Linked DNA regions of Stegostoma tigrinum. The protein of the gene in region 1 purifies or fractionates together with the protein of each later gene. This does not show direct contact. Links are inferred from orthologs where the notes say so. Each region holds a gene or a part of one and is shown on either strand. Other genes may lie near its edges. The genes, in order: galectin-3-like and solute carrier family 12 member 2.

The links.
Region 2: the proteins of galectin-3-like (region 1) and solute carrier family 12 member 2 purify together in Homo sapiens (affinity purification with mass spectrometry; 3 studies listed by BioGRID and IntAct, counting the BioPlex papers as one, with this or other methods). This does not show direct contact. The link is inferred for Stegostoma tigrinum from reciprocal best matches to the Homo sapiens genes LGALS3 and SLC12A2.

Annotation. Positions count from the first base shown.
Region 1 is NC_081363.1:47,872,303-47,889,010, forward strand, and holds the start of galectin-3-like, read left to right. Parts: upstream 1-8,696; 5' UTR 8,697-8,804; intron 8,805-9,715; exon of another isoform or gene 9,716-9,719; coding exon of another isoform or gene 9,720-9,737; exon of another isoform or gene 9,738-9,766; 5' UTR 9,767-9,790; coding exon of another isoform or gene 9,791-9,793; exon of another isoform or gene 9,794-9,945; intron 9,946-16,708. UniProt on the Homo sapiens protein: Galactose-specific lectin which binds IgE. May mediate with the alpha-3, beta-1 integrin the stimulation by CSPG4 of endothelial cells migration.
Region 2 is NC_081356.1:2,364,773-2,381,478, forward strand, and holds the start of solute carrier family 12 member 2, read right to left. Parts: upstream 7,631-16,706; 5' UTR 7,511-7,630; intron 1,926-7,510; 5' UTR 1,917-1,925; coding exon 1,850-1,916; intron 1-1,849. UniProt on the Homo sapiens protein: Cation-chloride cotransporter which mediates the electroneutral transport of chloride, potassium and/or sodium ions across the membrane. Plays a vital role in the regulation of ionic balance and cell volume.

The DNA.
Region 1 (16,708 bases):
CTTTGATTCCTTTACTGATCAAGAATCTAACACAAGGACTCTGCCCCACAGCTCTCTGAGGCAAGGCGTTCCAAATACTCTCAAACCTCTGAGAGAATTCATCCTCATCTCAGTCTTAAATTGACGCTCCCTTATTCTGAGATTATGCCCCCTGGTCCTAGACTGTCCCATGAGGGAAACATCCTCTCATTATTTAACCTGTCAAGCCCCCTAAGAATCCTACATGTTTCAGTGACGTCACTTCTCATTTTTCTAAAATTCAGATATCAGCATTCTGACCTGTTTAACCTTGGCTCATAAGTCAATCCTGCCATACCACGGATCGTCCTCATGATCCTTCTCTGAACTACTACTGATGAAATGATACATTTCCTTACATAAGGAGACCAATATTGTTCACAGTACTCCAGATGTGGTCTCAAAAGTGCCTTATACAGTTACAGTAAGACGTCCCTACCCTTATACTTCAACCCACTTGAAATAAGGGCCAACACTCTATTGGTCTTCCTGAGTACTTGCTGCACCTGTGTGCTAGCTCTCTGTGTTTCATGTACAAATGCCTCCAAGGCCTCCTTTAACCTTTTTTTCTCCATTTAAATAACATTCAGTTCTTTGGTTCTCCTTTCCAAAATGAACAACTTTGCATTTTTCCACATTAAACTCCACTTGCCAACTTTTTTGCAAGCTTCCTTAATTTATCAATATAACTCCATAAACTGTTTGTGTCCCTCTCACAACCTGCCCTTCCAGCCATTTTTGTCTCATCTCCAAGTGTGGCAACAGTACATTCACTTCCTTCTTCCAAGTCATTAATTTATAATGTAAACAGTTATGGACTCATTGAGTCATACAGCATGAAAACAGATCCTTCGGTCCAACAGTCCATACCGACCATGTTCCCAAACTAAACTAGTCCTACCTGCCTGCATTTGGCTCATATCCCTTCAAGCCTTTCCATTCATTAACTTATCCAAATGTTTTTTTAAATATTGTGACTGTACCTGCATCTCCCACTTTCTCTGGTAGTTCATTCCACGTACGCTTTGTAAAAAAGTTTCCCCTCATGTCCTTTTTAAGTATTTCTCCTCTCATCTTAAAAATATGTCCCCTAGTTTTGAACTCACCCACTCTTGTCATTCACCTTATCTATGCTCCCATAATTTTATAAACCTCAATAAGGTCACCCTTCAACCTCCTAAACTTATTGGCCTTCTTGAACCACTGCCGTTCATTCAGTGTAGGTGCACCCAGAACGTTGTTAGGGAGGGAACTCCAGGATTTTAACCCAGCAACACTGAAGGAGCATACCTCCAAGTAAGGATAGCCAGTGGCCTGAAGGGGAACTTGCAGGCAGTGGTGCTTCTGTGAATTCTAGATGGTCATAACTGTAGGTTTAGAAGGTGTTGTCCAAGATTCCTTGGTAAACTCTTGCAGGGCATCATGCATGCAGCACACACTCCTGACGCTAAGCAAGAACCAAAAGAACTGCGGATGCTGTAAATCAGGAACAAAAACAAAGTTGCTGGAAAAGCTCAGCAGGTCTGGCAGCATCTGTGGAGGAGAAAAAAGAGTTAATGTTTCGGGTCCGGTGACCCTTCCTCAGAATTGACGAAGGGTCACCGGACCCAAAACGTTAACTCTTTTTTTCTCCTCCACAGATGCTGCCAGACCTGCTGGGCTTTTACAGCAACTTTGTTTTTGCTCCTGACACTAAGCATCGGTGTTTGAGGGAGTGGTTTGTGTTTGTGGTGCTAATCAAGCAGACTGCCTTGCCCTGAATGGTGCCAAGCTTCTTGAGTGTTGCTGGAGCTGCACCCATCCAGGCAAACAGGCAGCACTCAATGACACGCCTGACCCATGTGCCATAGATTGTGAACAAGCCTTGGGGGCTCAGGCAGCGAGTTACATGCTGCGATATTCCCAGCCTCTGGGCTGCTCCCACAACCACCGTATCCACAAGGCTAGACTTGCAGGTCAGTGTCTCGTCAATGTTAGCCCCCAGGATGTTGATAGCGGGGAGTTTAGCAATGGTAATACCATCAAATGTCATGATGCAAAAGCCAGATTATCTCTATTAGGGATGGGCATCACCCTAGCAGTTGTGTGGAAAATATATTACCTGGCACCTGTCAGCATGAACATGGATATTGTACATTTGCTGCATTTGGGCCAGGATTGCATTAGCATCTGAAGAGCCACAAACAGTGCTGTACATTGATGACTGCACAATGAACCTCTCCAGTTCTAACCTTATAATGGAGGAAAGCTCGTTGACGAAGCAGCTGATGATAGTTGGGTTCAGGGCACTAGCATGAGGAACTCCTGCAGAGATGCCCTGGAGCTGTTACTCATAAAATAAGAAGTGAACATCTTTGCTGATTACTGCTCAATGTTCAGCACCATTCCCAACTCCCCAAATGCTGAAGTAGTCCATGCCCACATGCAGAAAGACTTGGACAGCAGCCAGGTTTGGGTTGACTACTGGCAAATAACACTAACACCACATTGGCCAGGCAATGACAATCTCCAACAAGAGAGAATCTAACCTTCACCTCACAACAACCAATGGTACTACTACTGCAGAATCCCCCACTATCAAAATTTTGGAAGCTACCATTTAGCCTTATATATATACATACGGCGGTCACAGGAGCAAGCAAGAGGCTGGGAATGCCGCAGCAACTCATCTCTTGATTGCCCGCAGCCTGTCCACCATCTACAAGATACATGTCAAGAGTGTGATGGAAAGTTCCCCACATTCCTGGATGACTGCAGCCCCACCAACACTCACTTGACTCCATCCATGACAAAACAGCCCTCCTGACTGGCATCACATTCACAAAGATCAACTCCCTCCGTCACCGCAGATGCTCAGTAGCAGCAATGTGCAACACCCACAAACTGCACTGCACACATTCACAGCCACCCTCCAGTCAGCACTTTCCGAACCCATGAGAACTACAATGTTAAATGACACAGACTGCAGATACATGGAAACAGCACCACCTGCAAGCTCCCCTCAGCCAAGCTACTGCCCATCCAGATCGGGAAATACATTGCCATTCCCTCATGGTTGTTGGGACACTGCTTCATGCTGCCTCAAAGCAGTCTCACAGTTCTACTTCACTTTCAGACCTGTTCAATATTCTAACAATAAACATTTTCTCTTCCTTTCAGGAATTAAAAAAAAACACAAGCGGCAATAACTCAGAGATATCCACATCCCTCTTCTTCCCTTCCCTTTCCCTCTGACTCCTTTCTTTCTTCTAACCCTACTGCCTGTCAAATATTTGCTATCCCTTTTGATCTTCCACTCTCTGATGCTGAACATTCTATACTTAGCAAAGGTTTTAGTTATATCCTTCTGCACCATAATGAATTTCAGGCAAGACATGACATTGAACTCTTCTTCTTCTTCTTCCACCTCCATGCCCATTTGTTTGGTTAGGAGTGCTCTCCCCATCCCATGGACACCTTCATCCACTTCCAGTACCTCCACCTTAAACCCTCCCTCTGGTCTTTTATATTGACTGATCATTGTGTACACGCTATCGGTTGGCTTAGGTTCTCTGTTCCCTCACCCATATGAACTGATCTCCTTCTGAACTGGCCGCACTCTGTGCTCTCACATTCAATCCTGTCTTTATCATCAAGCCTTCCAACAAGGGTGGTGCTGTTGTTATTGTTTCGTGTACTGACCTCTAGATTACACAAGTTGAGCACCAGCTCTCAGATACCACCTCCTATCTCTTCTGAACAAAACGATGCCACCACCGAGCATCAGGCTATTGTGTCCTCGACGCTTACCAACCTCGCCTCATCTGGGGATCTCCTACCAAAGGCCTTCCAGCTCATAGAATCCCCCACTCTGTACAGCCCGCTTCTACCTTCTCCCCAAAATCCACAAAGCAGGATTGCCTGGGCAGACCCATTATTTCTGTATGCTCCTAGCACATGGAACTTATATCTTCCTATCATTACTCAATTTTTTTCTCTCCTTATCCAATTCTTGTCCACTTACATCCACTATGTTTCTGACACTTCATGCCAGTTTCAACATTTCCAGTTTACGGGCTCTAGCTATCTCTTCTTTACACTTCCATGCCACATCAGCTTGGTCATGGGGCTCTCCACATCTTCCCAAAAGAAGACCTGAGCTATTCCCATTCACTACCACCCTCCTCTGCCTGGCTGAGCTTGTCCTCACTTTGAGAAACTTTTCATTTAACTCCTGTCACTTTATTCAAATCAATGATGTCACTATGGCAATAGGCTGCAATGATGTTAGAGACTGATCTTTCATCCTTGCCTACTTTTAATCTTTACATATGCAATTTAGCTAAAAATGTTATCTCTTTTACTGTCGTTACCTTAAGCACTGTAATAAACAAACCTTTATCTTGTGACAAAGTTGAAGATCGAGGTACTCGCTGAAGAATAATGCCAGAGGATTCCATAGTTTTGGACAAACAGAGGCGAACTGACTACATAAAGCTCGGACAGTATTACAGTCTACTGTATTAGTCATCTGACAAAGGAGCAGTTTTCTGAAAGCTTGTGATTCAAATAAACCTGTTGGACTATAACTCGGTCAAAGAGATAACAAAGTGTGGAGCTGGATGAACACAGCAGGCCAAGCAGCATCTTAGGAGCACAAAAGCTGATGTTTCAGGCCTAGACCATTCATCAGAAAACAGGGATGGGGAAAGGATTCTTAAATAAAGGGAGAGAGGGGGAGGCGGATCAAAGATGGATAGAGGAGAAGATAGGTGGAGAGGAGACTATGGGTTGGGAGGTAGGGACGGGTTAAGTCAGTCCAGGAAGGACGGACAGGTCAAGGGGGCGGGATGAGGTTAGTAAGTAGGAAATGGAGGTGCAGCTTGAGGTGGGAGGAGGAGATAGGTGAGAAGAACAGGTTAGGGAGGCGGGGATGAGTTGGGCTGGTTTTGGATGCAGCGGGGGGAGGGGAGATTTTGAAGCTTGTGAAATCCACATTGATACCATTGAGCTGCAGGGTTCCCAAGCGGAGTATGAGTTGCTGTTCCTGCAACCTTTGGGTGGCATCATTATGGCACTGCAGGAGGCCCATGATGGACATGTCATCTAAAGAATGCGAGGGGGAGTTGAAATGGTTTGCGACTGGGAGGTGCAGTTGTTTATTGTGAACTGAGCGGTGGTGTTCTGCAAAGCGGTCCCCAAGCCTCCGCTTGGTTTCCCCAATGTAGAGGAAGCCACAATGGGTACAGTGGATGCAGTATACCACATTGGCAGATGTGCAGGTGAACATCTGCTTGATGTGGAAAGTCATCTTGGGGCCTGGGATGGGAGTGAGGGAGGAGGTGTGGGGGCAAGTGTAGCATTTCCTGCGGTTGCAGGGGAAAGTGCTCGGTGTGGTGGGATTAGAGGGGAGTGTGGAGCAGACAAGGGAGTCCTGGAGAGAGGGTCTCTCTGGAAGGCAGACAAGGGTGGGGATGGAAAAATGTCTTGGGTGGTGGGGTCGGATTGTAGATGGCAGAAGTGTCGGAGGATGATTTGTTGTATCCAGAGGTTGGTGGGGTGTTATGTGAGGATGAGGGGAATTGTCTTTTGGCTGTTATTGTGGGGACGGGGTGTGAGGGATGAGGTGCGGGAAATGCAGGAGAAATGATGAAGGGCGTTCTCGACCATTGTGGGGGTGGATGTTGTGGCCCTTGAAGAACGAGGACATCTGGGATGTGCGGGAATGGAATGCCTCATCCTGGAGCAGATACAGGGTGGAGGTGAAGAAATTGGGAAAAGTGGATGGAATTTTTGCAGGAAGGTGGGCAGGAGGAGGCGTATTCCAGGTAGCTGTGGGAGTCGGTGGGCTTGAAATGGATATCGGTTTCTAGGTGGGTGCCTGAGATGGAGACAGAGAGGTCCAAGAAGGAGAGGGAGGTTTTGGAGATGGTCCGGGTGAATTGAAGGTTGGGGTGGAAGGTGTTGATGAAGTGGATGAACTGTTTGAGCTCCTCTTGGGAGCACAAGGCGGCGCCGATACAGTCATCAATGTAACGGAGGAAGAGGTGGGGTTTAGGGCCAGTGTAGGTATGGAAGAGGGACTGTTTGTCTGACTTCTGACTTTGTCCACCCCAGACCAACACTGGCACCTCCACATCATACTATTTTATTCACAATTTATATTCTTGCAGCCAGAATTAACGTGTGACTAATATACCTAACAAAAAAAACTGTGTAAGTATTCCACAAAGCATATCAAATAGCAAATGTTGTCAAGGTAGATTTCCCAGCAATGACACCTAGATGTCTGTGACAGTGTGGATTGTCAAATCTGAATTAACTTTACAATAAACTTCAATTTCTTCTCTTTTGATGAACTAGCTTTGCAGCCCCCGATAAAGGAATTTCAGCACTTACCAGAACAAGTAGTGAAGTGTGTGGCATGAGCTAGAAAACCTAAAATTTTAAAAACTGGAACAAAATCTCAGAGGTATGAGGCAGGCCTGTTAACCAATTCATCTTGTCACTCAGTGACTACCTCTGCTTCTGGGGACTGGCACGTACGATTCTATCCTGCGTTACTATTCCAAGAGTTGTGTCTGATAGCATACCTTTTCACAAGATGGGTTTGGTAACAGTCATTTATGCACGGGTGTCTCTTCACTCTTGTTGTCCATACCTATCTTTTTTGACAAGTAGAACTCATACTCTAGTGGTATTAAACATGTTTTGTCTCACAATAAATGCCTGCTTAAGCAAATCCTCCTGATTTTCTATCATTTTTCCAATTAACAGATTTTATATAGCTATGTGAAATTAACAGAGGGCTTCAGAACTAAATACATAGATCATATTGGATGTATTGGTCAAGGTTATTGGTGAAAAACTGAAAAAAAATTTCAAAGGTTCATGGCAACTATCACCAAGAACATAAAAATGGATTGAATTTTCAAATTCAATTAAACAAATTACTATGTTAAAAATTAAACTCTGTTCAATCTACAAAGTGTGCTTTGTTGATGCCCACAGGACCAGATACATTTGCAACATGGAGAAATGGAACTCTTTTATGCTTACATTAAAAGGAAAAAGCTGGACCTAAAAGGTGAAAGACTTTTACTGCATTCACAGCACTGAAATGACCTTAACAAACAGCCGATAAGAATATTAAATGGCTTTCATTATCGAATGAAGAGGAAGATCTAAGAACAGAAATAAGGTAAGCAATGGCAAAGGAAAGCTACATTGAAAAGGCTGGGGAGAAAGTATAACCTGAATGATTTTTAAAAAAACAAGATGTGAGAATGGTGAGAGATAGAGAAAAAATGAAGACTTTGATGGACAGTGTCTGGTGAAGCAAAACAAATGAGGCTGACAGAGATCATGGTAAAGTGACTGAAAAGCAATGATAGGTATTTCTTATACTCATTGAACTGCAAAATACTTCAGATGCATGCGCAATCAATATCTGTCACTTCATTGTTGCTACCCACTACGGGTACCAAAGTGGTGCTGTTCCTCACACATCTGCCAGGGTTCACAATTAAATCATAAAAGGAACAAGAACATTCAGCAGCTCACGTATTTCCTTCACAACTATGCTACCACGTAAAATGGATGGTGGTGAATCACAGTCTATTTTACATTTTTCTCAGTTTTCATTTTCATTGAAAATAATAATTGAAGATTGTACTGGAACCAATCTTTACAGTTTTGTATTTTTAAAGTTACTTCTTTCAAGTAGACACTCTAAACTAATTAACAGTTTCTGTTGTGACTAAGCTAAGTGAACATCTCTGGAGATAAATTCACGTATTTACCTAGAAAAGGGATTTTAATACGGGGAGGGGAGCACATTTTAAGATGAGAGGAGAAAGATATATAGTGATATTGGGGACAAAATTTTAATACAGGGGTTTGCGTGTGGAATGAACCTCCTGAGAAAGTGATGGATGTTGGTACAATTACAATATTTACAAGACATTTGGATAAGTACATGAATAAGAAAGATTTGTGGGAAGATGGACGAGGAGCAGGCAGGTGGGACTACTTTAGTTTGGGATTATGTTAAGCACGGACTAGTTGGACCCAAGGGTCTGTTGGCGTGCCGTATGACTTTAAATGGGGAGGATAAAGCAATGGGGCCGAGAAGATTGAGTTACCGCTGTGCTGTGCATTATAGTTTCTAACTCAAACGTTACGAGTAAAAGATCATTTTTCTAGTCTGCCTTTTAAACAAGGCCAACAGTATTGGGTTGGCTTTAATGTAAAGAATGCAAAGAAAATAATAATCAAGGAAGCAATATGACAAGCGCAATATGATGTCCATTTCCAAAATTCGATCGCAGCGTTCTCAGCAGTATGTAGCGGCTCCCCGCATCCAACTTGCATTCCGCAGTCACTTTTTTTATCCAAGTTACAAACTTCACACAAAGTGTTGAGAAGAGATAGTAGGAACTGCCGATCAGCATTAGAGGAGCAGGAAAGTTTGACATTTCGCGTCGAGACCGTTCATCAGAAAATTAGAAAAAAATTAGACCCGAAACGTCAAACTTTCCTGCTCCTCTGATGTTCATCCAGCTTCACACCGTGTTATCTCAAAGTCTTGAGAATATCAGGTGAAATATGACGATACGAACGTCGGGAGGTTATTTCATTTGAACCATGTCAGTAACACTTCTGCGCGGTTTAATTCCAAACTGGGGCATGTCTAAACGGGGTTGTGCAGCCACGCCCAGGGAAAGGCGCTGCAGTGAACCTCCCAGGGCGTTGGTTGGAGAACTAAAAATCTCACATCACAGGCTGGTGTTAAACCGGGAAATCAGGTCAGCCGTCAGGCTGGGGTCTCAGCCCGGTGCACTGCGGATTCAGGAAGGGCCGAAATCAGGCCGCGTGTTGGGGGTCACTGCGCCCAGGGATCGGGTCGGGAATTGGGGGTCACTGCGCCCAGGGATCGGGCCGGGTATTGGGGATCACTGCGCTCAGGGATCGGGCCGGGAATTGGGGGTCACTGCGCTCAGGGATCGGGCCGGGTATTGGGGATCACTGCGCTCAGGGATCGGGCCGGGTATTGGGGATCACTGCGCTCAGGGATCGGGCCGGGTATTGGGGTCACTGGGACTGGGTGATCGGGCCGGGTACTGGGGATCACTGCGCTCAGGGATCGGGCCGGGTATTGGGGATCACTGCGCTCAGGGATCGGGCCGGGTATTGGGGTCACTGGGACTGGGTGATCGGGCCGGGTACTGGGGTCACTGTGAGTGGGGAATCGGGCCGGGTACTGGGGTTTTTTAGGGGAGAGCCTCGGGCTGAGTACTTGGGTGGTTACAAGAGGGGGACGAAGTCTCTGGCCGAGTACTGGGGTCTATTTTTGTGTGGGGGCGGGGGGGGGGAGAGTGGAAGAATGGCGATCACTCGGCTATTGGGGTCTCCGGTGGGGAAACTAGCGAAACTTTCGGAGACTGGGCAGCGCTGCGTCCCGATTATCCGCAGCTCGGGTTTCCTGCAGTTTCCATGCAGATAGAAAACAACAAAAGTGTGGAGCTGGATGAACACAGCAGGCCAAGCAGCATCTCAGGAGCACAAAAGCTGCTGCTGCTTGGCCTGCTGTGTTCATCCAGCCCCACAGTGTTGTCTCGGGTTCTCCAGCATCTGCAGTTCCCATTATCTCCATGCAGATAGAAACCTGTTTATCCAGGTTTTTTTGCGGTCTCAGGGCGGGCGTTTCTTCACTTACTCACTCCTTTCTCAGTCGCCATTTGCTAAACCCACGCGTTTTCCATTTCAGAAACGTTTCTCCTTCAGCAGAATCATGGTAAGAAATGTTAGAATCTTTTTGTTGTGTAGGTAGCATCGCACCGATATGTACATTTTTTAAGCATCTGGTGAATGAGCCCTGGTGTTAAATTACAGCACTGCCTTCACCCCGAGTATTTTTGCCGGGGGTTGGTGGTGTAGCTTGTATATTTGAAAGTATTTTTGTTGGCAATGTTCATCATATCAGGATGTCCAAAACTGCACGATATCTAATTGAGTTATTTCAGAGTGCCGTCACTGTTACCATTATAGGACTGAAGATTTTTACATTGACAAATTGTAGAGTGAAGTTTGGCATTTAATGGGAATACCGCAAAAACATGTTAATTACTAGAGACGTGAAATTAAAACAAAAGTAGATAATGCTGGTAACACTCAGCATCTGTAAGGAAAACAGCCAGAAAGTTTGTTTATGTTTAAAGCCTGGGATTGATGTTACAACAGTTCTGTAATTGTTTCTAGCAGTTTTTAAAACATTACCAGTGTCTTGTTGCGAGAAACTGATGGTTGTTCTCTGAATCATTGACTTGAGGTGAGATCTACATGGGTGGTCCAGACCGCAGTTTCATAGAGATTTATCCCACCAAGATATTTTTAAAATATAAGCTTGGGGAAATGTGTCCATGAATACTGATACTCCCCAGCAACTGAAAGACAGACCTTTTCAATGTTTTATTTTATATTCAAGCAACTGTACAAGCATAACAACAAGTATTACAAAAAAGAAATCCACATCTTTACCACTCATATCTGTGTTAGAACAAATGCTGTGAATTGTCAGTCTGAAGTTACCTCCTCAGATTACAGTTTTCTCACCACTGCTGAAACTTGTACTCTGTTCTATCAGAGATAATGGGAACTGCAGATGCTGGAGAATCTGACATAATAAAGTGTGGAGCTGGATGAACACAGCAGGCCAAGCAGCATTTCAGGAGCACAAAAGCTGACGTTTCGGGCCTAGACCCTTCATCTGATGGGTCTGCTTGGCCTGCTGTGTTCATCCAGCTCCACACTTTGTTATCTCTGTTCCGTCATAAGGCGTTTAGAGTGCAGGGAGTTATTTCTCTTAAACTTGTTGCCTTTCGTAAGTAACTGCAGGTGCATTTCTGTTTCTATAGAATGCATTTTCTTAGCTCAGTTGCTAATAATTTTCATTTTGAAAAAGGTAGCCACAAACCACTAGGTGCAGTGCAGTTTTACAGTGTTGACGTTTACAGTGACGTTTATCACACATATTCTCGCTCTTTGGGACTGTCTGCATTCCAGCAGAGTTAAAGGGATTTGTTTAGTGAATAGCTCCTGTTATTGTACATTAGTTAGCACTTCATATTCTCCAGGTCTGTTTGACTTTTGACATCAGTTTAGTTAAATTTAATTTTATTTCATTTCCTGCAGCAAACTTACATGGCAGATATTACCTTATAATGCAAAATGTTTTGTAGAATTGTAGAAACTTACAGCTCATAAGGATAGAAACATCGAAAATAGATGCTGGAGTAGGCCATTCGGCCCTTTGTACCTGCATCACCATTCAATATAGTCATGGCTGATCATGTGATTTCAGTGTCTCACTCCTCCTGCTTTCTCTCCATACCCCTTGATCCCTTTAGCCATAAGGGCCAAGTCCTGAACCCCATGAATATATCTAACAAACTGGCCCCAACAGCTTTCTGTGGTAGAGACTTCCACAGGTTCACTGCTCTGAGTGAAAAAAATCTTCCTCATCTCAGTCCTGAATGGCTTACCCCTGTGAGGCCTAGTTCTGGACTTTCCCAAAATTGGGAACATTCTTCACGCGTCTAGCCTGTCCAGTCCCATTGGGACTTTGTATGTTTGTATGAGAGCCGCCTTCATGCTTCTGAATTCCAGTGAGTATAAGACCAGTCGATCCAGTCTTTTTTCATATGCCTGACCTGCCATCCCGGGAATCAGTCTGGTGAACCTTCACTGGACTCCCGCAATAGTAAGAACGTCCTTCCTCAGACTAGGAGGCCAAACCTACTCACAGTACTCGAGGTGCAGCCTCACCAAAGGCCCCATATAACTGTAGCAAGACATCCCCGCAGCAAGACATCCCTTCTCCTATACTCAAATCCCTTTACAATGAAGGCCATGAAGCCATTAGCTTTCCTCATGGCCTGCTGCACCTGCATGCCAGCCTTCAGCAACTGTTGCACCGTAACACCCAGGTCTCATTGCACCTCACCTTTTCCTAAAAGCCACCATTCAACTAATAATCTGCCATCCTGTTTTTGTGACATCACAGTATTCCATATTAACATTGCATTTATCAAATATTTGCCCTCTCGAACAGTCTGTCCAAATCACTCTGCATCCTCCTCACAGCACATTCTGCCACCCAGTTTAGTGTCATCTGCAAATTTGGAGACATTGCATTCAATTCCTTCATCTGAAGCGTTAACATATATTGTGAACAGCTGCGGTCCCAGCATTCAACCATTCTGAAAAGGTCCCGTTTATTCCAACATTCTGCTTCCTGTCTGCCAACCAGTTCTCTATCCACATCAAAACATTACCTCCGATACCATGAGCTTTAATTTTCCTTACTAATCTCTTGTGTGGACCTTGTCAAAAGCCCTTTGAAAGCCCAGATACACAACATCCACTGATTCATCTTTGTCCACACTACTGGTCATATCCTCAAAAAATTCCAGAAGATTTGTCAAGCATGATTTCCCTTTAGTGAATCCATGCTGTCTTTGACCGATCTTGTCACTGCTTGCTAAATTATTACATCCTTAACAATTGACTCTAGCGTTGTCCCACCACTCTTGTCAGGGTAACCAGCCTATAACTCCCCATTTCCCTCCCTCCTTTTTAAAAAGTGGGGTTACATTAGCTACCCTCCAGCCATGCGGACTTATTGAGTTTTGATCCCGTTATTTTCCCCAATACTATTTCCTGACTGGTAAGGATTTCCTCATGTTCCTCCTTCATGCTTGACCCTCTGTCCCCTTGCATTTCCAGTTTGACCCATCATGTCAGTGCTGGCCTTTCGAAAGGTTGTGCTTAGTTCTACATCCTGCTATTTATTTGTGACCCTGAAAGTTCCTCACTGTTAAGTACCTTTTTAAAATATAATTTGTAAAATCATCTTACAGTTCCATTTCAGAGACAGCATTCCAATGGCAACAATGCTATGTGAAAATTAACTCCTGTTTTCACTTCATATGTTTCCCCAATGATTTTGAATCTATAACTTGTAAATATTAATTCCCTCAGCAGAGACATTTCCCCACCTAGCTTTTGAATATCAAAAGCTCCCTAGCTTCAAACTCCTACTTATGTCAGCATCTAACCTAAGATAATAAAATGTGAGGCTGGATGAACACAGCAGGCCAAGCAGCATCTCAGGAGCACAAAAGCTGACGTTTCGGGCCTAGACTCTTCATCAGAGAGGTGGATGGGGTGAGGGTTCTGGATTAAATAGGGAGAGAGGGGGAGGCGGACCGAAGATGGAGAGAAAAGAAGATAGGTGGAGAGAGTGTAGGTGGGGAGGTAGGGAGGGGATAGGTCAGTCCAGGGAAGACGGACAGGTCAAGGAGGTGGGATGAGGTTGGTAGGTACGAGATGGGGGTGCGGCTTGGGGTGGGAGGAAGGGATGGGGTGAGAGGAAGAACAGGTTAGGGAGGCAGATACAGGTTGGACTGGTTTTGGGATGCTGTGGGTGGAGGGGAAGAGCTGGGCTGGTTTAGGGATGCGGTGGGGGAAGGGGAGATTTTGAAGCTGGTGAAGTCCACATTGATGCCATTAGGCTTCAGGGTTCCCAGGCAGAATATGAGTTGCTGTTCCTGCAACCTTCGGGTGGCATCATTGTGGCACTGCTGGAGGCCCATGATGGACATGTCATCTAAAGAATGGGAGGGGGAGTGGAAATGGTTTGCGACTGGGAGGTGTAGTTGTTTGTTGCGAACCAAGCGGAGGTGTTCTGCAAAGTGGTCCCCAAGCCTCCGCTTGGTTTCCCCAATGTAGAGAAAGCCACACCGGGTACAGTGGATGCAGTATACCACATTGGCAGATGTGCAGGTGAACCTCTGCTTAATGTGGAATGCCATCTTGGGGCCTGGGATAGGGGTGAGGGAGGAGGTGTGGGGGCAAGTGTAGCATTTCCTGTGGTTGCAGGGGAAGGTGCCGGGTGTGGTGGGGTTGGAGGGCAGTGTGGAGCGAACAAGGGAGTCACGGAGAGCGTGGTCTCTCCGGAAAGCAGACAGGGGTGGGGATGGAAAAATGTCTTCGGTGGTGGGGTCGGATTGTAGATGGCGGAAGTGTCGGAGGATGATGCGTTGTATCCGGAGGTTGGTGGGGTGATGTGTGAGAACGAGGGGGATCCTCTTTGGGCGGTTGTGGCGGGGGCAGGGTGTGAGGGATGTGTTGCGGGAAATGCGGGAGACGCGGTCAAGGGCGTTCTCGATCACTGTGGGGGGAAAGTTGCGGTCCTTGAAGAACTTGGACATCTGGGATGTGCGGGAGTGGAACGTCTTATCGTGGGAGCAGATGTGGCGGAGGCGGAGGAATTGGGAATAGGGGATGGAATTTTTGCAGGAGGGTGGGTGGGAGGAGGTGTATTCTATGTAGCTGTGGGAGTCGGTGGGCTTGAAATGGACATCAGTTACAAGCTGGTTGCCTGAGATGGAGACTGAGAGATCCAGGAAGGTGAGGGATGTGCTGGAGATGGTCCAGGTGAACTGAAGGTTGGGGTGGAAGGTGTTGGTGAAGTGGATGAACTGTTCGAGCTCCTCTGGGGAGCAAGAGGCGGCGCCGATACAGTCATCAATGTACCGGAGGAAGCGGTGGGGTTTGGGCCCTGTGTAGGTGCGGAAGAGGGACTGTTCCACGTAACCTACAAAGAGGCAGGCCTAGCTGGGGCCCATGTGGGTGCCCATGGCCACCCCCTTAGTCTGTAGGAAGTGGAAGGAGTCGAAAGAGAAGTTGTTGAGGGTGAGGATGAGTTCGTCTAGGCGGATGAGGGTGTCGGTGGATGGGGACTGGTCGGGCCTGCGGGACAGGAAGAAGCGGAGGGCCTTGTGGCCATCTGCATGCGGAATGCAGGCGTATAGGGACTGGACGTCCATGGTGAAAATGAGGTGTTGGGGGCCAGGGAATTGGAAGTCCTGGAGGAGGTGGAGGGCGTGGGTGGTGTCATGGACGTAGGTAGGGAGTTCCTGGACCAAAGGGGAGAAAATGGAGTCCAGATAGGTGGAGATGAGTTCTGTGGGGCAGGAGCAGGCTGAGACGATGGGTCGACCAGGGCAGGCAGGTTTGTGGATTTTAGGAAGGAGATAGAAACGGGCCATGCGGGTTTCGGGAACAATGAGGTTGGAGGCTGTGGGTGGGAGGTCCCCTGAGGTGATGAGGTCATGAATGGTGTTGGAGATGATGGTTGGTGCTCGGGTGTGGGGTCATGATCGAGGGGGCGGTATCCCTCACACCCTGCCCCCGCCACAACCGCCCAAAGAGGATCCCCCTCGTTCTCACACACCACCCCACCAACCTCCAGATACAACGCATCATCCTCCGACACTTCCGCCATCTACAATCCGACCCCACCACCCAAGACATTTTTCCATCCCCACCCCTGTCTGCTTTCCGGAGAGACCACTCTCTCCGTGACTCCCTTGTTCGCTCCACACTGCCCTCCAACCCCACCACACCCAGCACCTTCCCCTGCAACCGCAGGAAATGCTACACTTGCCCCCACACCTCCTCCCTCACCCCTATCCCAGGCCCCAAGATGGCATTCCACATTAAGCAGAGGTTCACCTGCACATCTGCCAATGTGGTATACTGCATCCACTGTACCCGGTGTGGCTTCCGCTACATTGGGGAAACCAAGCGGAGGCTTGGGGACCGCTTTGCAGAACACCTCTGCTTGGTTCGCAACAAACAACTACACCTCCCAGTCGAAAACCATTTCCACTCCCCCTCCCATTCTTTAGATGACATGTCCATCATGGGCCTCCTGCAGTGCCACAATGATGCCACCCGAAGGTTGCAGGAACAGCAACTCATATTCCGCTTGGGAACCCTGCAGCCTAATGGCATCAATGTGGACTTCACCAGCTTCAAAATCTCCCCTTCCCCCGCCGCATCCCAAAACCAGCCCAGTTCGTCCCCTCCCCCCACTGCACCACACACCCAGCCCAGCTCTTCCCCTCGACCCACTGCATCCCAAAACCAATCCAACCTGTCTCTGCCTCCCTAACCTGTTCTTCCTCTCACCCCATCCCTTCCTCCCACCCCAAGCCGCACCCCCATCTCCTACTTACTAACCTCATCCCACCTCCTTGACCTGTCCGTCTTCCCTGGACTGACCTATCCCCTCCCTACCTCCCCACCTATACTCTCTCCACCTATCTTCTTTTCTCTCCATCTTCGGTCCGCCTCCCCCTCTCTCGCTATTTATTCCAGAACCCTCACCCCATCCCCCTCTCTGATGAAGAGTCTAGGCCCGAAACGTCAGCTTTTGTGCTCCTGAGATGCTGCTTGGCCTGCTGTGTTCGCCCAGCCTCACATTTTATTATCTTGGATTCTCCAGCATCTGCAGTTCCCATTATCTCATCATCTAACCTTCTGTGTTTCCAGGAATGAAGTCCTAACTTCCACAACCCCTCATCCTCAGTAGTATCCTAGTAAACCTCCTCTACGCTTATTCGCTTTCTAAAGTGTACTGCCTGGAATTGCTACAGTTTGGCAGCAAAGGTTAAACCTAACTTATTCAAATGTATAACATCCTGAAGGGGCCTTCCAGGGTGGGTTTTTTCCTTTGGCAGGCGAATGTAAACACAGGGACACAATTTCATCTTTGTGTTTCCCACATTTCTCAGTAAACAAGCAGAAGTGCAGCTTTAGTTGAAGTCCTTAATACTTCCCTCTCGTTTCTCTTTCTTTCCAT
Region 2 (16,706 bases), on another chromosome or scaffold:
ATTTTAAGTTAAGGGAAGTTTGAATGAACAAACGAACAAAAAACCAAAAAAAAACAGCACAAGATAAAGTTACAAATGGAGGTAAGCGGTTCTGATATAAAAATTGTCCTTGCAGAAACAGTTGTCTGGTGTATTGCTTCTGTTTCTGGTCACTCACTAATTTCATATCTATGCTTCTACCATCCAGGTTATTACATAGGCTTTAACCTTGCTGATAAGCCTACTGTATTACATGTGACCAAATACCTTTCAGAATTTCAGCTACCACATGACCGATCAAATCTGTCCCCTCAGTGAAGAAACCAAACCAAAAATTAGTTAAACAATTCCTTTTGAACAAACCCATTCTGACTTTCTGAAACTAATGCAAATTTGCCAAAGAGATTGTGATATGCCCTGAATGATCATTTTGAAAACCTCTCTCAGCCCTGGGATTCAACTAACTGGTTTGCAGTTACTGGGCTTATTATTACTACACCAACATATCTCCAGCCTTTCAGGCCACCACCAGTAAAATGTTGGTAAATTTAAAAAACAGAACATCAACACCTGATAAAAATCAGTAAACTTTCTAATCATTTGATGCTCAAATTGGTGGGAGATCCAACCCTCACCCCTCCAACATTCAAGCATTGAAATTGAAACTTACTATTGCAAAATAACTTCATAGCCCAAGCAAAAATATATCACCAACTTGTAACATCTAATTTTTTTTCTGATGGATCAAAATTTTTGAATTGCATATGAGCACAAACTGCATCCATTAATCCGGATGCAGCCCTTGTCCTAATGAGCCACCTGATCCATAATCTTCCCCAATAATACAGTTTTGCCTTGGAAACTGTTTCTTTAATTGGTTTCAGAAAGAAGGATTTGCAGTAGCAATGCACAAATTAAAAAAAGAATATGCCAGCAAAAAAAAACTTTATCACTTCCCATTGCACTTCAAAAGGCATTTAGAACTAGCCCGATAATTATTCCATTTCTTCTGTAAATAAACCACCTCATCTTTCAATATTATGGGTGTTCAGTGCTTTTCAAATATTTGTAGTGACTAACTTAAATCTTTAATACAGAAAACAAATCAAAGTATCCAGCTCTTGTGATGCAGATATGGGAAGAGCATTACATTTTTTTTTTCTTTATTCATTCACAGAATGATAGCGTTGCTCGCCAGGCAGCATTTATTGACAATCCCTAATTACCCAGAGGGCAGTTTAGAGTTAACCAACACTGCTATGGATCTGGAGTCACATGTAGGCCAGACCAGGTAAGAATGGTAGTTTCCTTCCCTGAAGGGTATTAGTGAACCAGATGAGTTTTTCCAACAAATCAACAATGGATTCATGGTCATCATTAGACTCTTAATTCCAGATATTAATGGAGTTCAAATTCCACCATCTGTTGAGGTGGGATTCAAACCCAGGTCCCTAGAACATTATCTGGATCTCAGGGTTAACAGTCAGTGGTAATACCACTAGGCCATCACCTGCCCCCTCCATGGATGGGCATTTCACTAAGTTAGTTGATTAAGTCAAGTTTCCTGAAAAACTGTGGCATAATTGGGAAAGGTTTACTGAAATTTTAACAATGCTCCCATGGAAGTTAATTTATAGCTAGCTATAGCAGGAGTTTAAGTATTTCATGGTCAATTGTGAACAAAAGCTGCTCAACTTCAACACCTAGCATTTAATTAAAGATGAGGACAGAAGACAACCCATATGTTGCATTTAACACACTACTGTAAATGACAGAATCATTTAACACAAAGGTGAAAATAACACTTAAAATGCTAACATTTCAATCTATTGACTTTCATCAGTAGAATAAGTTGAGGTTTTCCACATACCTATTCCAGCGTGGCCAACAATCCATGTTAAACGGATGAAGAGCATCACACCCCAAATATTTAGCATACATCGTACCTAGTGGATTGGAAAAGATTCCAAGACAGCACAAATAAAGACGACTGATAATTGCATATTCCAAATTCTTAGCAATTAACATTGACAGCCAAGCAGGCAGCAAATTAAGTATAACCAAATAGTTGTTTAAGTTTCTTCAGAATCATGTTTAAAGGCGATACAGCTCAACAGTATTGCTGTTATTAGTTACGCATTCCCAAATCTTAATTGCACAACCTTTGGTGATCGGGACTTCAATTGCCTGAGCCTTAGAATCTCACTTGCAGATGTCCACCTCACTTTCTACTTTTCAAGAAAAACATCAACAGTACAGCACAGAAACAAGCCCTTTGGCCTACCACATCTGCACTGACTATGATGCCATTCTGAACCAAGCACATCGGGCTACACATGGTCCATATCTCTCTCTCTCTCTCTAATCCCTACCAATCCAAATGTCTCCTAAACATTGATATCATACGTACTACCACCACCACCTCCCCAGCAGCATATTCCAAGCACCTATCGTCCTCTTAAAAATCTCCTTTGAACTCCGTTCCCACCCCAGCCATATTCAACATTTGCCCCTCGTATTTGACATTTCCACCCTGGCTGGGAGAAAGACTCCAATTATCCACCCTATCCATGCCACTGAATTTTTATATACTTTAAGCTGGACAACACCTTCCTGCCAGCCTTCAATGTTCTGGAGAAACAATCCAACTTCTCCTTAGAGCTAATAGAATCTGACCAGGCAACATCCTGATAAACCTTTTGCGGCTTCTCCAAAGCCTTCACATTCTGCCTGTAAGTGGGGCAACCAGAACGACGCACAATGCTCCAAAACGTCACCCAACTCAGTTTCATACAGTTACAACCAGTTGCTAACTTTTATATTCCATGCCCTGACCAATGATAAGGAGCATGTTATACACCCTCTTCTACACCACATCCACTTGTTACCACTTTCATGGAATGAAGGACTTCCACCCCAAATCATAGGATCTCTTCCCATGCTGTGACTCTTTGGTACAACTTGTTCGTGCCAAGTTTCCCAAAACTAAACTAGTTCCATTTTCCTGCATTTGGCCAAGAGTCCAGCCATTTAATGTATACTTTCATCTTGTATTTGACCTCCCAAAATGCATCACCTCACTTGTTCAGGTTAAACTCCTCTGCCCAAATTTCCAATTGATCTATACCTGCTGTATTCTTTGACAACCTTCCTCACTATCTACAACTCCACCAATTTTCAGGTCATCTGTAAACTTATTAGTCCAATGAGCTACATTCCCCTCTGCTCACAGACGTCCATTCAGAAAGACACCCTTCCACAACTACCCTCTCAATTTCGTACCCGATTTACCCACGTGGGTTGATCCTATTAATTTAATCTTGTGAAGCAGCCTACCATGAGGGACCTTTTCAAATGCTTTATTAAAACTCAGACAACATCCACTGCCCTACTCTCATTCTTCTGTATCACTTCCTCAAAGGGAACAATCAAATTTGAGACACAAGACATCCCATGCTGGCTATCACTCAAGTCCTTTCTTTTCCAAATGCGAGTCAATCCTGTTCCTAACAATTTTCTCAATTTTCTAATGAACCTACAACTGATGTAAATCTCACCAGCCTATAGTTGCCTCGATTATCCCTGTTGCCTTTGTACAAAGGATGGACACTGGCTACTCAACAGTCCCCTAGGACACATGTTTAAAGGGAATACAAAAGATCTCTGCCAAGGCTCCAGCAAACTCCTCCCTTGCCTCCCTAGTGTGCCGGGATAGATCTTATCAAGCCCTGGAGACTTAGCTACTTCAGATTTTTTCAAAACACAACACATCCTCCTTCCTAATACTGACATGCCCTTTAATATAAAAACACACTCCTCCTAATCTTACCATCATGGCACTGGTATACGCCAAGGAGAAGGATAAGTACTCATTAAAAAGGAACTCACCCATTTCCTCTGGCTCCACACAAATTCCTTCCTTTGTCATGGAGTGGACCTACCCTTTCCAGAGTTGTCGTCTTGCTCCTCCATAAAACTTATGTGCTGAGCTTTTGGTCAGATGGTCCAATACCATTTGTGAATTGTTATCACACTTGACCCTGTATATGCCTCTGGTTTCATTTTGTTAATGAAAGGGTGATAAGGTGTTGCAGTGTTCAGAAGATAAAGGACTGGAACATTTGTCAGGCAACATTCTGGCCAGGTGTGTGCCAGGCAATAAGCATCACCAACGTGGGAAACTAACCATCACCCCTTTAAAAGGTATTACCATTACTGAGTCCCCCATTATCAACATCCCAGATATTCTCATCTACCAGAAACTGAACTGGACTCGCCTTATCAATACTGTTGTCACAGGACAGAAGGTAGTAATTCTGCAATGAATAACTCACCTTCTGACTGCCCAATGTGTCCAGCAACCACAACGGCACAAATTAGGACTGTGACGAAATGCTCCCCAGTTTCCAAGTTGAGTAACAGCTCTAAAAAGCAGCTAGACACCCTCCAGAACAAAGCAGCCTGACTGACTGACACCTCATCCACCACTTTCAACATTCAATACCTTTGCCAGTGCTGCAGCAGCAACAGCATCTACCATCTACAAAATAACTTTACACTAACTCAAAGTCCCCCCAATATCACCTTCCAAACCCATGACCTGTACTTCCTAAGTAGTGCACCACCTGCAAATTCTCCAAATTATAAACCAAGCCGGACTTGGAACCGTAATCACTGTTCCTTCACTGCCACCCGGTCAAAATCAGGGAACTTCCTTCTCAACTGCACTGTGGATGTACCGACACACCACAAGCGCTGCAGTCCAGGGAGGTTGCTCACTACTGCCCATCCTCAATAGCTCTAGAGACAGTAACAAGTGCTGGCCTAGCTCACAGTGCACATTCATCTGGGAAAAGATAAATATTTGAGCCTGCTTCCATTAGTTATTTCATTGTCCACCATTCACGATCAGAAGTGGCAGGATTACAGAGTTTAGATCTGATCCACTGGCAGTGGGATCACCTAGCCCCAACTATCACACACTGTTGCCAATGTTCAGCATGCAGGAAGCCCCCTGCTGTAGTTTCACTTAGTGGCGCACTCAGTTAGGAAAACCTGATGTCATTCCCGAAGTGGGCCTGGACAGTAACAGGGAAATGGAGAACATGCCACGCCATGAGGGTACAGACTGTGGTTGAATACATGCTGTTCATGATCAACATAACCTAATTGGCATCAAGTAGAGTTGCTAGACTCATCTGAAATCCATCCCATTGACAAAGGTGTTGTTCTTCATTGGTTTCAGTGCCATATATCAGCAAAGATTAGACTTCACCCGTACTGTCACAGTCCCTCCAACCAATACTGCAATGGGCAGATGCAACAAATAGCTCAGATAGCTGGATTACAACAAAGAATAAATGTTAGAGCAAGATCAATTCTTGCACTGGCCGAGGTTGCCATGAAAGACCTGCCTTCTCAAACTCGCCCCTCTGGTCAAACCATCACTAGTTGTGCTTGTGTCAAGGTAGCCTTACGGTCCAGTAAGCCGATGACAACTTCACTTGTCTGCGTCTTCACATGGAAGGATTTAATGTGATGAGCGGAGGGTGCAGGTGGTATTTCAAGTTTTCAAAAGGAAGATTTGTAAGGAATGAGAGAAAGGACAAGGTAGTTAATGATGGACTATTGACCAAGTGCCATGGGGTACCATGGGTCCAATAGTGCCTCACTTATACACAAAAAAAAACTTCAGTATAAAGAAATAACAGTGTGGAGCTGGAGGAACACAGCAGGCCAGGCAACATCCGAGGTGCAGGAAAGCTGACATCACGGTCCGGGACCCTTCTTCAGAAATGGGGGGGGGGGGGGAGGGAGCTCTGAAATAAAGTGTATAAAGCACTCCCCCACACCACCCCCCTCCACCCAACAAAGCATATTTTTGTCAGTTGAATGCTTTTGCTTTATAAGAACAGTTGGGAAATGGCCCTCAGTCTGGGGTCAGTAGTGATGCCTAGAAGATCTGCGATGCAGGAAAAGCCTTGTGATTAAACAATTGTAAAAGGCATCATTGCGAACTTTAAAATCAAAAAAGGTGTACATGGGGAGGGATGGGACCTGTACTCTGCTCTGTCTGGTCACGTTAAAACAGGCAGTAGTGAGATGTGCACACCTACCCACACCAACTTCCCCAAAATGCATGCTACAGCACCTTTATTGCATGCAGCAATTTCAATTTACAAGTATCACATAATAAAGTAATTCAGATTATTAAACCATTTGTTATGGGTCTTTCAAATCAACAGCCTGAAAATCTCTCAAAATTCCATAATACATTCAGAACCACAATAATTTGATGAGATTTGCATTACTGCAGGCTGATTATCATATTAAACAGGGAATCAACTCAAATTGAAGCTGCTTCATTATTTTCCTGTTGTCCAACTTTTAGTCTGCAAATTGCTCACAATTTGTCATGGACTTCTTAAATAAAGTCTAAGAAAGAGAATTTTCACACAGTCAATGCCCATTAGATTTCTAATAAAAAACAAAAGAACTGCGGATGCTGTAAATCAGGAATATTCCCATTAGATCTCAATTTTATATCAAAATAAACTGACTTTGTAAGTTTAAAAAGTCAGCTTACTTGCATGCATTTTTCCTTCAAAAGGAGTGTATCAAGAGTGCAGTCAGTAAGTGTTATTTGCAGGAACGTTGGAACAGTGATGAACAGTAACATTAACTGTAAAAGCAAGAAGCACCACCACTTTGGGGATGGGGTGGGGAACAAAAAAAGTCTGCGTCTCTTTTTCCATACAGTCACAGCATGAGAGTTGGAACCGGGATCTATGAATTAGGGCCAAGTTGTCAACATAAAGCAACAATTTTGCCTGAATATCAGTACTGAATTTTATCATGGAGCTAAATGAGATGCAGAGGTGGTTATTGTACATTCAAAGTCTAGAAATTCAGTCCTGCAAAAAGAAATCTACTTTCACAAAGCCATATAAAATGAGACATTTGCTGGACACTGCCCACTTTGGGATGAAAGAAAGGTGTTGTTCAAAGTTGTACCAACCCAAGAATCAAAAGTTTTCTAAAAAGCTCCACAAAATTAAAAGTAACAGCTTCAAAGTTCATAGAACCACTGAATCCATACACAGTGTGGAAACAGACCATTTGGGCCATCAAGTCCAGACTGACCCTCAAGAGATCAGGCCACCCACACTCATTCCCCTACATTTCCCATGGCTAACCATTTAGCTTGCACATTCCTGGACACAATGGGCAATTTGCCACAGCCAATCCATCTAACTTGTAAATTGTTGGACTATGGGAAGAAACTTGGAGCACCCATACACCTGGCCGGGGGGGGGAGGAGAGAAGAGAGTGGTGGTGGTGGTGAAGAAGAGGAGGAGATGTCTGTGTGGAGTTCGCGCACATGCCCCAGTCTAGGACCAAACCTGGGTCCATGGTGCCTTGAGGCAGCAGTGCTAACCACCAAGACAGCATGTTGCCCCAGAAAAAGTTCAAAGCTGATGACTAAATATCAGCTTATCTACTGAAAGCCAAAAGCTAGCAACTAACTTACCAGAACACCTTTAACCCAGCCAAACTTCACAACACCTTTACTGTCAACAACATGCTTTGACACAGCCTCTTCAGCTGGGCTGGCTTCCTCTCCATTTGCGTAACCATCCTCAAAAGGCTCCTGCAAAACAAAATCAAAAAAGGTTTTAATCTTATAACTTCTTACTTCAAATCATACACAATTTAGGAAGTTATTTCAGATTTACCTAACAAGATAACCATTACCTACTGCATTCCAAGTTCAAAGAAAAACTGCATTGTGCAATATATCACCTGTGTTATTAGGTTGAAGTTAATGAAAAGAACAAAAAAAAAGAAACAATGCAAGAATAAACCATTTCTCAAGCCAGCTCTATTAACCAATGTTGTGTTCTGGTAAACAGGATATTATGGTGTTGTTTCAGAGTTAACATATAGACAGAATGGGAAGGAACTAGATTTCCCAACAAAATCAGTTTATAGCTGAGGCAGCCACTTCATAAAAACATACAGAATTAAACTTGGCAACTAAAGATCCATTAGCCAACTAACTGCCAAGGCCAAACTCTCAATCCGTAACGAGATCAATGAATCAAATAACCAAGTGCATATTTCACAAAAGCAAGTCACGATTCTAAAGTCTGAGGTTTTTCGAGAGATGAGTAATGCATATTTTAGGATTACAGACGTAGTGTCTTTGGACTGTCAGAGGCTTTCTAAAAAAGGAATTTCATAGGAGGCTTCAAAGTTTCAGGTATAACAGAATAAAAGTATAAATAGAAAATTAGTTGTTAGATAGGAAACAAAAGAAATAAAAAAGGAGTAATGTTAGCAGTTCAGGTTGTAAATGAATCAGTTAAGAATATTAAAGGAATTTTTCAGCTTGGTAGAGAAAGCTAGGAGAATTTTGAAATTGGTTAAGTCTGACAGAGCAAACCGGGGAAAGACTACCGTTTCACATGGGAAACTCCATTGTGATCTCATCAATTAAAAACTATGGACAGTTAGGAGGATTACAAATAAACAATTCCACATTTATCAATGTGGGAAGATTTGTTATTGGGAGCAGTGGAGACAGGCTATTGGTTTCAAACTGGAAGCAAAGTTGACGCAAAAGGAAGATACAGGACTGTAGTAGGGCAATCAAACTACTTTTGGATTCCTTAAACAAGTAGGTACAAGCACAGCAGGGCTGTAAATAAATCAAGGTTTAAAGAGACAGGCGCACATTTATACACACAATCAGAACTTCCCAATTCCAAATGAACCCTCAAAAAGATAACATAGCATCTGCAGCAATCTGATCTTGAACAATAACTATTATGCATTTAAAGAAAAAAAGGGGATAAACACAAATAGACCAGGACATATCAACAGAATTACATAGAGATGGGTGGGAGAGGGGGAAAGAGGGTATTTCAGCTATGAAGTGCAGCTGGATAAGCACAGCTTGTTTTCTTTGGAGCAGAGAAGGCTGTAGGGGACCTGGTCGAGGTGTATGAGATGATGAGGGGCATGGACAGGGTGGATAGAAAGCAACTGTTGCCGTTAGTCAAAAAAGTGTCAAAGACAAGGAAACAATTTTTAACAACTGAAAAAGACGAGCAGTTTAAAAGGAGATTTCAGGAAACAATTTTCCATCCGAGGATGGTGGGGATATGGAATGCACTGCCAGGGAGGGTAGTCAAAACGAGAAACCTCAAATCTTTAAAAGTGTACTTGGGTGTTATGACACATTAAGTGTTCATCAAGGCTACCAGCCTAGTGAGAGAAGGTGGGGCTATGCAGGCAGTAGTATATTTTTGGCAGTACAGACTTAAAAAGGAGGGAGATGATAGATTCTCCAGCACCTGCAGTTCCTGAGATAACAAGGTGTACAGCTGGATGAACACAGCAGGCCAAGCAGCGTCAGAGGAGCAGGAAAGCTGATGTTTCGGGTCTAGGCCATTCTTCAGAAAATTCATTTTTTTGTATATTTATATATTCTGAAGGGTCTAGGCCCTAAACGTCAGCTTTCCTGCTCCTCGGCCTGCTGTGTTCATCCAGCTCTACACCTGGTTATCTCAGACTCAAAGGACCTGTTCTGTACCCTAACTCTGATTCAAAAACTAAGTGGAAATATTAAAATTATAAAATATTTAAAAAAGAGAGAGAAACTCAATAGATCTGGCAGCATCTGCAAAGGGCAGAAAAGTTAATGTTTTAAGCTCAATTTGATATCTTTAGAAGAGGGCTGGAAAATGATTGTTTCACCACCTAACCCAATCGCCACCACCCCCAACTCTCAAGAAAATAGTGGAGCAAGAGGACTGAATGGAACAAAATGTTAAAAAGGTTGCTTGGAGTGAAAGACAAAGGGAGTGCTTATGTGTGGGGGGTGGGGGGGGGGGGGAAGAGGAGAGGAGGAGAAGGAGGTAAGCAAAAGATATGGATGCAGGCTGTCACTTATGATAAGTGTTGCCACTTTTCTAAACAAGTCTTCAAGGCTTCCAAAGAGATTACCAGCATTCCAATATGCAAAAAAAACATTGTTGGTTTCATAAGTCATCATACCCTGCACACGGTAAAATCATAACCCAACAGCCAGATTTTTTTTTTAATTACACAATGAGTACAAACAAGACCCAGGTTAAAAATCAGATGTCACCTGCAGCACCTGTGAAAAATTAACTGCATAACAAACAAAAGGAGTTAGCACGTTACTTTCTACAACAGTGATATCTAGGTATTTCCATCAGCAATAAACTAAAATAGGGAATAGAGATAATGGGAACTGCAGATGCTGGAGATTCCAAGATAATAAAATGTGAGGCTGGATGAACACAGCAGGCCAAGCAGCATCTCAGGAGCACAAAAGCTGACGTTTCGGGCCTAGACCCTTCATCAGAGAGGGGGATGGGGGGAGGGAACTGGAATAAATAGGGAGAGAGGGGGAGGCGGACCGAAGATGGAGAGTAAAGAAGATAGGTGGAGAGGGTGTAGGTGGGGAGGTAGGGAGGGGATAGGTCAGTCCAGGGAAGACGGACAGGTCAAGGAGGTGGGATGAGGTTAGTAGGTAGCTGGGGGTGCGGCTTGGGGTGGGAGGAAGGGATGGGTGAGAGGAAGAACCGGTTAGGGAGGCAGAGACAGGTTGGACTGGTTTTGGGATGCAGTGGGTGGGGGGGAAGAGCTGGGCTGGTTGTGTGGTGCAGTGGGGGGAGGGGATGAACTGGGCTGGTTTAGGGATGCAGTGGGGGAAGGGGAGATTTTGAAACTGGTGAAGTCCACATTGATACCATATGGCTGCAGGGTTCCCAGGCGGAATATGAGTTGCTGTTCCTGCAACCTTCGGGTGGCATCATTGTGGCAGTGCAGGAGGCCCATGATGGACATGTCATCAAGAGAATGGGAGGGGGAGTGGAAATGGTTTGCGACTGGGAGGTGCAGTTGTTTGTTGCGAACTGAGCGGAGGTGTTCTGCAAAGCGGTCCCCAAGCCTCCGCTTGGTTTCCCCAATGTAGAGAAAGCCGCACCGGGTACAGTGGATGCAGTATACCACATTGGCAGATGTGCAGGTGAACCTCTGCTTAATGTGGAATGTCATCTTGGGGCCTGGGATGGGGGTGAGGGAGGAGGTGTGGGGAAAAGTGTGGCATTTCCTGCGGTTGCAGGGGAAGGTGCCGGGTGTGGTGGGGTTGGAGGGCAGTGTGGAGCGAACAAGGGAGTCACAGAGAGTGGTCTCTCCGGAAAGCAGACAGGGGTGGGGATGGAAAAATGTCTTGGGTGGTGGGGTCGGATTGTAAATGGCGGAAGTGTCGGAGGATAATGCGTTGTATCCGGAGGTTGGTAGGGTGGTGTGTGAGAACGAGGGGGATCCTCTTGGGGCGGTTGTGGCGGGGGCGGGGTGTGAGGGATGTGTCGCGGGAAATGCGGGAGACGCGGTCAAGGGCGTTCTCAATCACCGTGGGGGGGAAGTTGCGGTCCTTAAAGAACTTGGACATCTGGGATGTGCGGGAGTGGAATGTCTTATCGTGGGAGCAGATGCGGCGGAGGCGGAGGAATTGGGAATAGGGGATGGAATTTTTGCAGGAGGGTGGGTGGGAGGAGGTGTATTCTAGGTAGCTGTGGGAGTCGGTGGGCTTGAAATGGACATCAGTTACAAGCTGGTTGCCTGAGATGGAGACTGAGAGGTCCAGGAAGGTGAGGGATGTGCTGGAGATGGCCCAGGTGAACTGAAGGTTGGGGTGGAAGGTGTTGGTGAAGTGGATGAACTGTTCGAGCTCCTCTGGGGAGCAAGAGGCGGCGCCGATACAGTCATCAATGTACCGGAGGAAGAGGTGGGGTTTGGGGCCTGTGTAGGTGCGGAAGATGGACTGTTCCACGTAACCTACAAAGAGGCAGGCATAGCTGGGGCCCATGCGGGTGCCCATGGCCACCCCCTTAGTCTGTAGGAAGTGGGAGGAGTCAAAAGAGAAGTTGTTGAGTGTGAGGACGAGTTCCGCTAGGCGGATGAGAGTGTCGGTGGAGGGGGCCTGGTCGGGCCTGCGGGACAGGAAGAAGCGGAGGGCCTTGAGGCCATCTCCATGCGGAATGCAGGTGTACAGGGACTGGACGTCCATGGTGAATATGAGGTGTTGGGGGCCAGGGAATTGGAAGTCCTGGAGGAGGTGGAGGGCGTGGGTGGTGTCACGGACATAGGTGGGGAGTTCCTGGACCAAAGGGGAGAAAATGGAGTCCAGATAGGTGGAGGTGAGTTCGGTGGGGCAGGAGCAGGCTGAGACGATGGGTCGACCAGGGCAGGCAGGTTTGTGGATTTTGGGAAGGAGATAGAAACGGGCCGTGCGGGGTTGGGGAACAATGAGGTTGGAGGCTGTGGGTGGGAGGTCCCCTGAGGTGATGAGGTCATGAATGGTGTTGGAGATGATGGTTTGGTGCTCGGGTGTGGGGTCATGATCGAGGAGGCGGTAGGAGGTGGTGTCGGAGAGTTGGCGTCTGGCCTCGGCGATGTAGAGGTCAGCACGCCATACTACCACTGCGCCACCCTTGTCTGCGGGTTTGATGGTGAGGTTGGGGTTGGAGCGGAGGGAGCGGAGGGCTGCCCGTTCTGCGGGGGAGAGGTTGGAGTGGGTGAGAGGGGTGGAGAGGTTGAGGCGGTTAATAGGGAATACTGCTTTTTAAGATGTGCTATAATTTAACTGCACTATCACCAAAAGCATGCCTAAAGTGAACCAGTAAAAGACAGCTCAGATTTAAGAGTTTATTTTGTATTTATAAAGCATGAGATAAAATTTAAATTGCATCAGGGGTTCTAATAAGGATTTTCTTAAATTTTCCTTTTTGAAAAGGAAAATCTTAACAAATATTTCCTTCAAGGCAAAAGAAAATAACATTTACACTAACATACACAAACAAACACATACATAGTACTAAGCTGTCCCCTCAGAAAGCATAAGAATTTTGCCAAACAATGCTTTTGGAAAAATTTACATTTCCACTTCCTGCTCATATGGGTGTGCACCAAAACAAACCTAGGACAAACCAATTGTTCTAGAGAATTGATGCTCGAGATCATAATTTAAATAGCACATCCAAAAAGAACTGCAGGATCCAAACAAACACTCATCTTGACATTTTTGTCCCTGTGCAATAAACCAGCTTTTCAAAGATAATTTTTAAAAATCTAACCTTTAACCCTGCAATTCAGCTTCTCTATATTTGAATTCAAGTTTCAAAAAGAATCAAAAATCGGAACATTTCCCACTCCAAACAGACTTGGATACATACAATATTTCTTCTATCACCAGATCCTTTTGATGGTGAAAGCGTTATAACTTCTGCAGCATTTAAAACTAACACTGCATAAACAAATTATTTTTAAAATTTCAATTGTAAGTGATAACTGCTTCTTAAATAAGTAATTTAGAATCACAGCTAAATTGCCACAATTCTAACAACTTTGGGGTCTTTATTAAGTCAACTGTAGATCAATGACAAACAATTGTTTACAATCTAATTAGGAGTTATAATTGAATGAATAACTGAAAGCACCCAAAATTGCGAAAAAACACGAACTAATCAAGTTATGGTGCATTAGAAATATTCTACGATTATTTCATCATGTGGAACTTAACAAGAAAAATTTTGAAAATTCAGTAGTGGTAAGGAGAGTATTTGCCACACTTCCTTAACTACCCTAGAGAAGGTGTACAGAATGTTTAGGAAGAATAAAATTAGATTGTTAGTATGCAGTTCTCTAAGAGACATAGCTGAAGGGTTTTTAAGAACTCTAGGCTGAAAGGAAAGAAAGTTGCTCAGTGAAGTAATTGAACCATGGTTTCTAAAGTTATAAAAGAAATGGCCTTAATGTGAACTGCCACCTTAGAGAGGAAGATTGAAGGCAAAACATTAGGTTTAAGTTAGATGTAAAAAAAAATGAGGACTTGATTTATTGGGGAATTTTATACAAAAGGAAATCAATCTGAGCATAATTGCCAAATGCAATGCATAATTGTTTCAAGAAAGGAAAAGTTCTTAAAATAGGTGATTGAGCCTGACAGAAGCTAGAAAATAGGATACCCGTGAACCATTTCAACTCCCCCTCGCATTCCTCAGACGACATGTCCATCATGGGCCTCCTGCAGTGCCATAATGATGCCACCCGAAGGTTGCAGGAACAACAACTCATATTCTGCTTGGGAACCCTGCAGCCCAAATGGTATCAATGTGAACTTCACAAGCTTCAAATCTCCCCTTCCCCAATCGCATCTCAAAACCACCCCAGCTTGTCCCCGCCTGCCTCCCACCTATCCCCTCCTCCCACCTCAAGACCCAGCCCCCTACTAGCCTCATCCCGTCCCCTTGGCCTGTCCATCCTCCCCAGACTGACATATCCCCTCCCCACCTACATTCACCTTCACTGGCTGCATCCCCACATCTTTGACCTGTTTGTCTCCTCTCCACCTATCCATCTTCTGTCCACCCCCCACTCTCTCCCTAATTTATTACAGAACCCCCTAAACCTCCCCATTTTCTGAAGGAGGGTCCAGGCCCGAAACATCAGCCTTCCTGCTACTCTGATGCTGCTTGGCCTTCTGTGTTCAGAGCTGTACACCCTGTTATCTTAACTAGAATACACAGCACCTTTTAAGTGATAGCAGCTCCAACATGAGGATGAAGTGAATGAGCTGGAACTTAAATAGAGATCAAAATTAAGAAATCCACAAAAATAGACAGCAGTTACCCCAGGCTAACAAAACCAACCAGAGAATGAAAATTGCGATCATGTTGGAGTCAGCGTTGGAAAGTTAGAATTGGAAGCAAGGCAAATGTAGTCAAACTAGAAGAAAGAGGAGCATCCACAAAAATGTAAAACTCACCGTGCGATAGAAGGACTGCCTAGGTGTTTAAAAATTGGGGGCTGAAATGAGCAAGCGCTAAAAAGAGTTTAAAGAGAGTACAAAAACAAATTGCTGTTTCAAAACAGTGGCTGCAGTTCTGAGGGGAAGTCTCTGCCAATGACAGCAGCTAACAAGCAACTACTGATTAAGCAGTAATTGAAGTTCAGATTGCACAAGATATGAAGCTGGGGGGGGGGGGGGGGGGGGAGGTAGCAGGGTTGGTGTGCTGCACAGAGATGCATCAATACAGGTTGATTGATGACTATCACTAGCCACAGACCAATGGCAGAAACCTTTTTTTGCATCCCAACAAGCAGAACATTGGTTCAAGTATCTAAGCAAGTTGGCCAGAGGTAGGCAGCGTGTTCATGATGGGAATACAGTTTTAGTTCATGATGGTTTATATTGGCTGACCCGGAGCCCGAGTCTTATTAGTTGTAGTAAATAATTAATGCTTTTTACAGAAATCCGAACAAGATTTTCAGACCAATGTTGATAGAAAGCAAAGTTAATTGGAGCACTGTCCATTCCATAAAGTCTTTAACATTCGTTAGGACTCCAGATATAGCAGGTCAGGATTTACAGCAGGTCACCAAACAGTACACGGGCATTGTGGGTAAGCCAACAGCAGGTGGACTGCAGCGGTTCATGAAGGTAGCTCATCACCACCTTCAAGGGCAACAGGGATGAGCAATAAATGCTGGCCCAGCCAGCGATGCCCACATCCCTCAAAGTGAATAAATTAAGTAAAGTACATATGCTAATCAAAAAAATTAGGAACAGATTTTTTTTGAATTCATTCACATGATGAGGGAGTTGCTGGCTAGGTCTAGTCCATCCCAAGACAGAAGAGTCAACCACATTGTTGTGGGTCTGGAGTCATGTGTGGGCAACACCAGGTAAGGATGGCAGTTTCCTTCCCCTTTGGTTCCAGTGAACCAGGTGGGTTGTTCTGAAAAAAAAAAAGTCAGTGGATTGGTCATCAGACTCTTCATTCCATATATTTATTATAAATTTAAAATCCCAATCTGCCATAGTGGGATTCAAACCTAGTTCCCTAGAATGTTGTTACAGAGGTAGTAGGAACCACTGATGCTGGAGAATGAGATAACAGCGTGAAGCTGGATGACCACAGTAGACCAAGCAGCAGAGGAGCAGGAAGGTTTGATATTTCGGGTCGAGACCCTTCATCACCCCAAAACGTCAAACTTTCCTGCTTCTCAGATGCTGCTTGGCCTGCTGTGTTCATCCAGCTTCACACCGTGTTATCCCTAGAACATTCCCTGGGTCTCTGGATTAACAGGCCAGTGATAGAACAGCTAAGCCAAACCCTCCCCTCTAAAGAAGTCAAAATCAAACAAATACACAGTGAGATTTAAAGGGAATTGGACCTAAAAGTCCCATTTTTAACTGAACAGATGACGCAGGTCAATAGGGTGGTCAAAAAGGCATATGGCATGCTTTCCTTCATTGGGCAGGGTATTGACTACAGGAGTTGGCAGGTCATGTTACAGTTGTATAGGACTTTGGCTCGGCCACATTTGGAGTACTGTGTACAGTTCTGGTCGCCACATTACCAAAACGATGTGGATGCTTTAGAGAGGGCGCAGAGGAGGTTCACCAGGATGTTGCCTGGTATGGAGGGTGCTAGCTATGCAGAGAGGTTGAATAGATTAGGATTATTTTCATTAGAAAGACAGAGATTGAGGGGGGACCTGATTGAGGTCTACAAAATCATGAGGGGTATAGACAGGGTGGATAGCAAAAAGCTTCCCCCTGCCACCCAAGTGGGGGACTCAATTACTAGGGGTCATGAGTTCAAAGTGAGAGGAGGAAAGTTTAG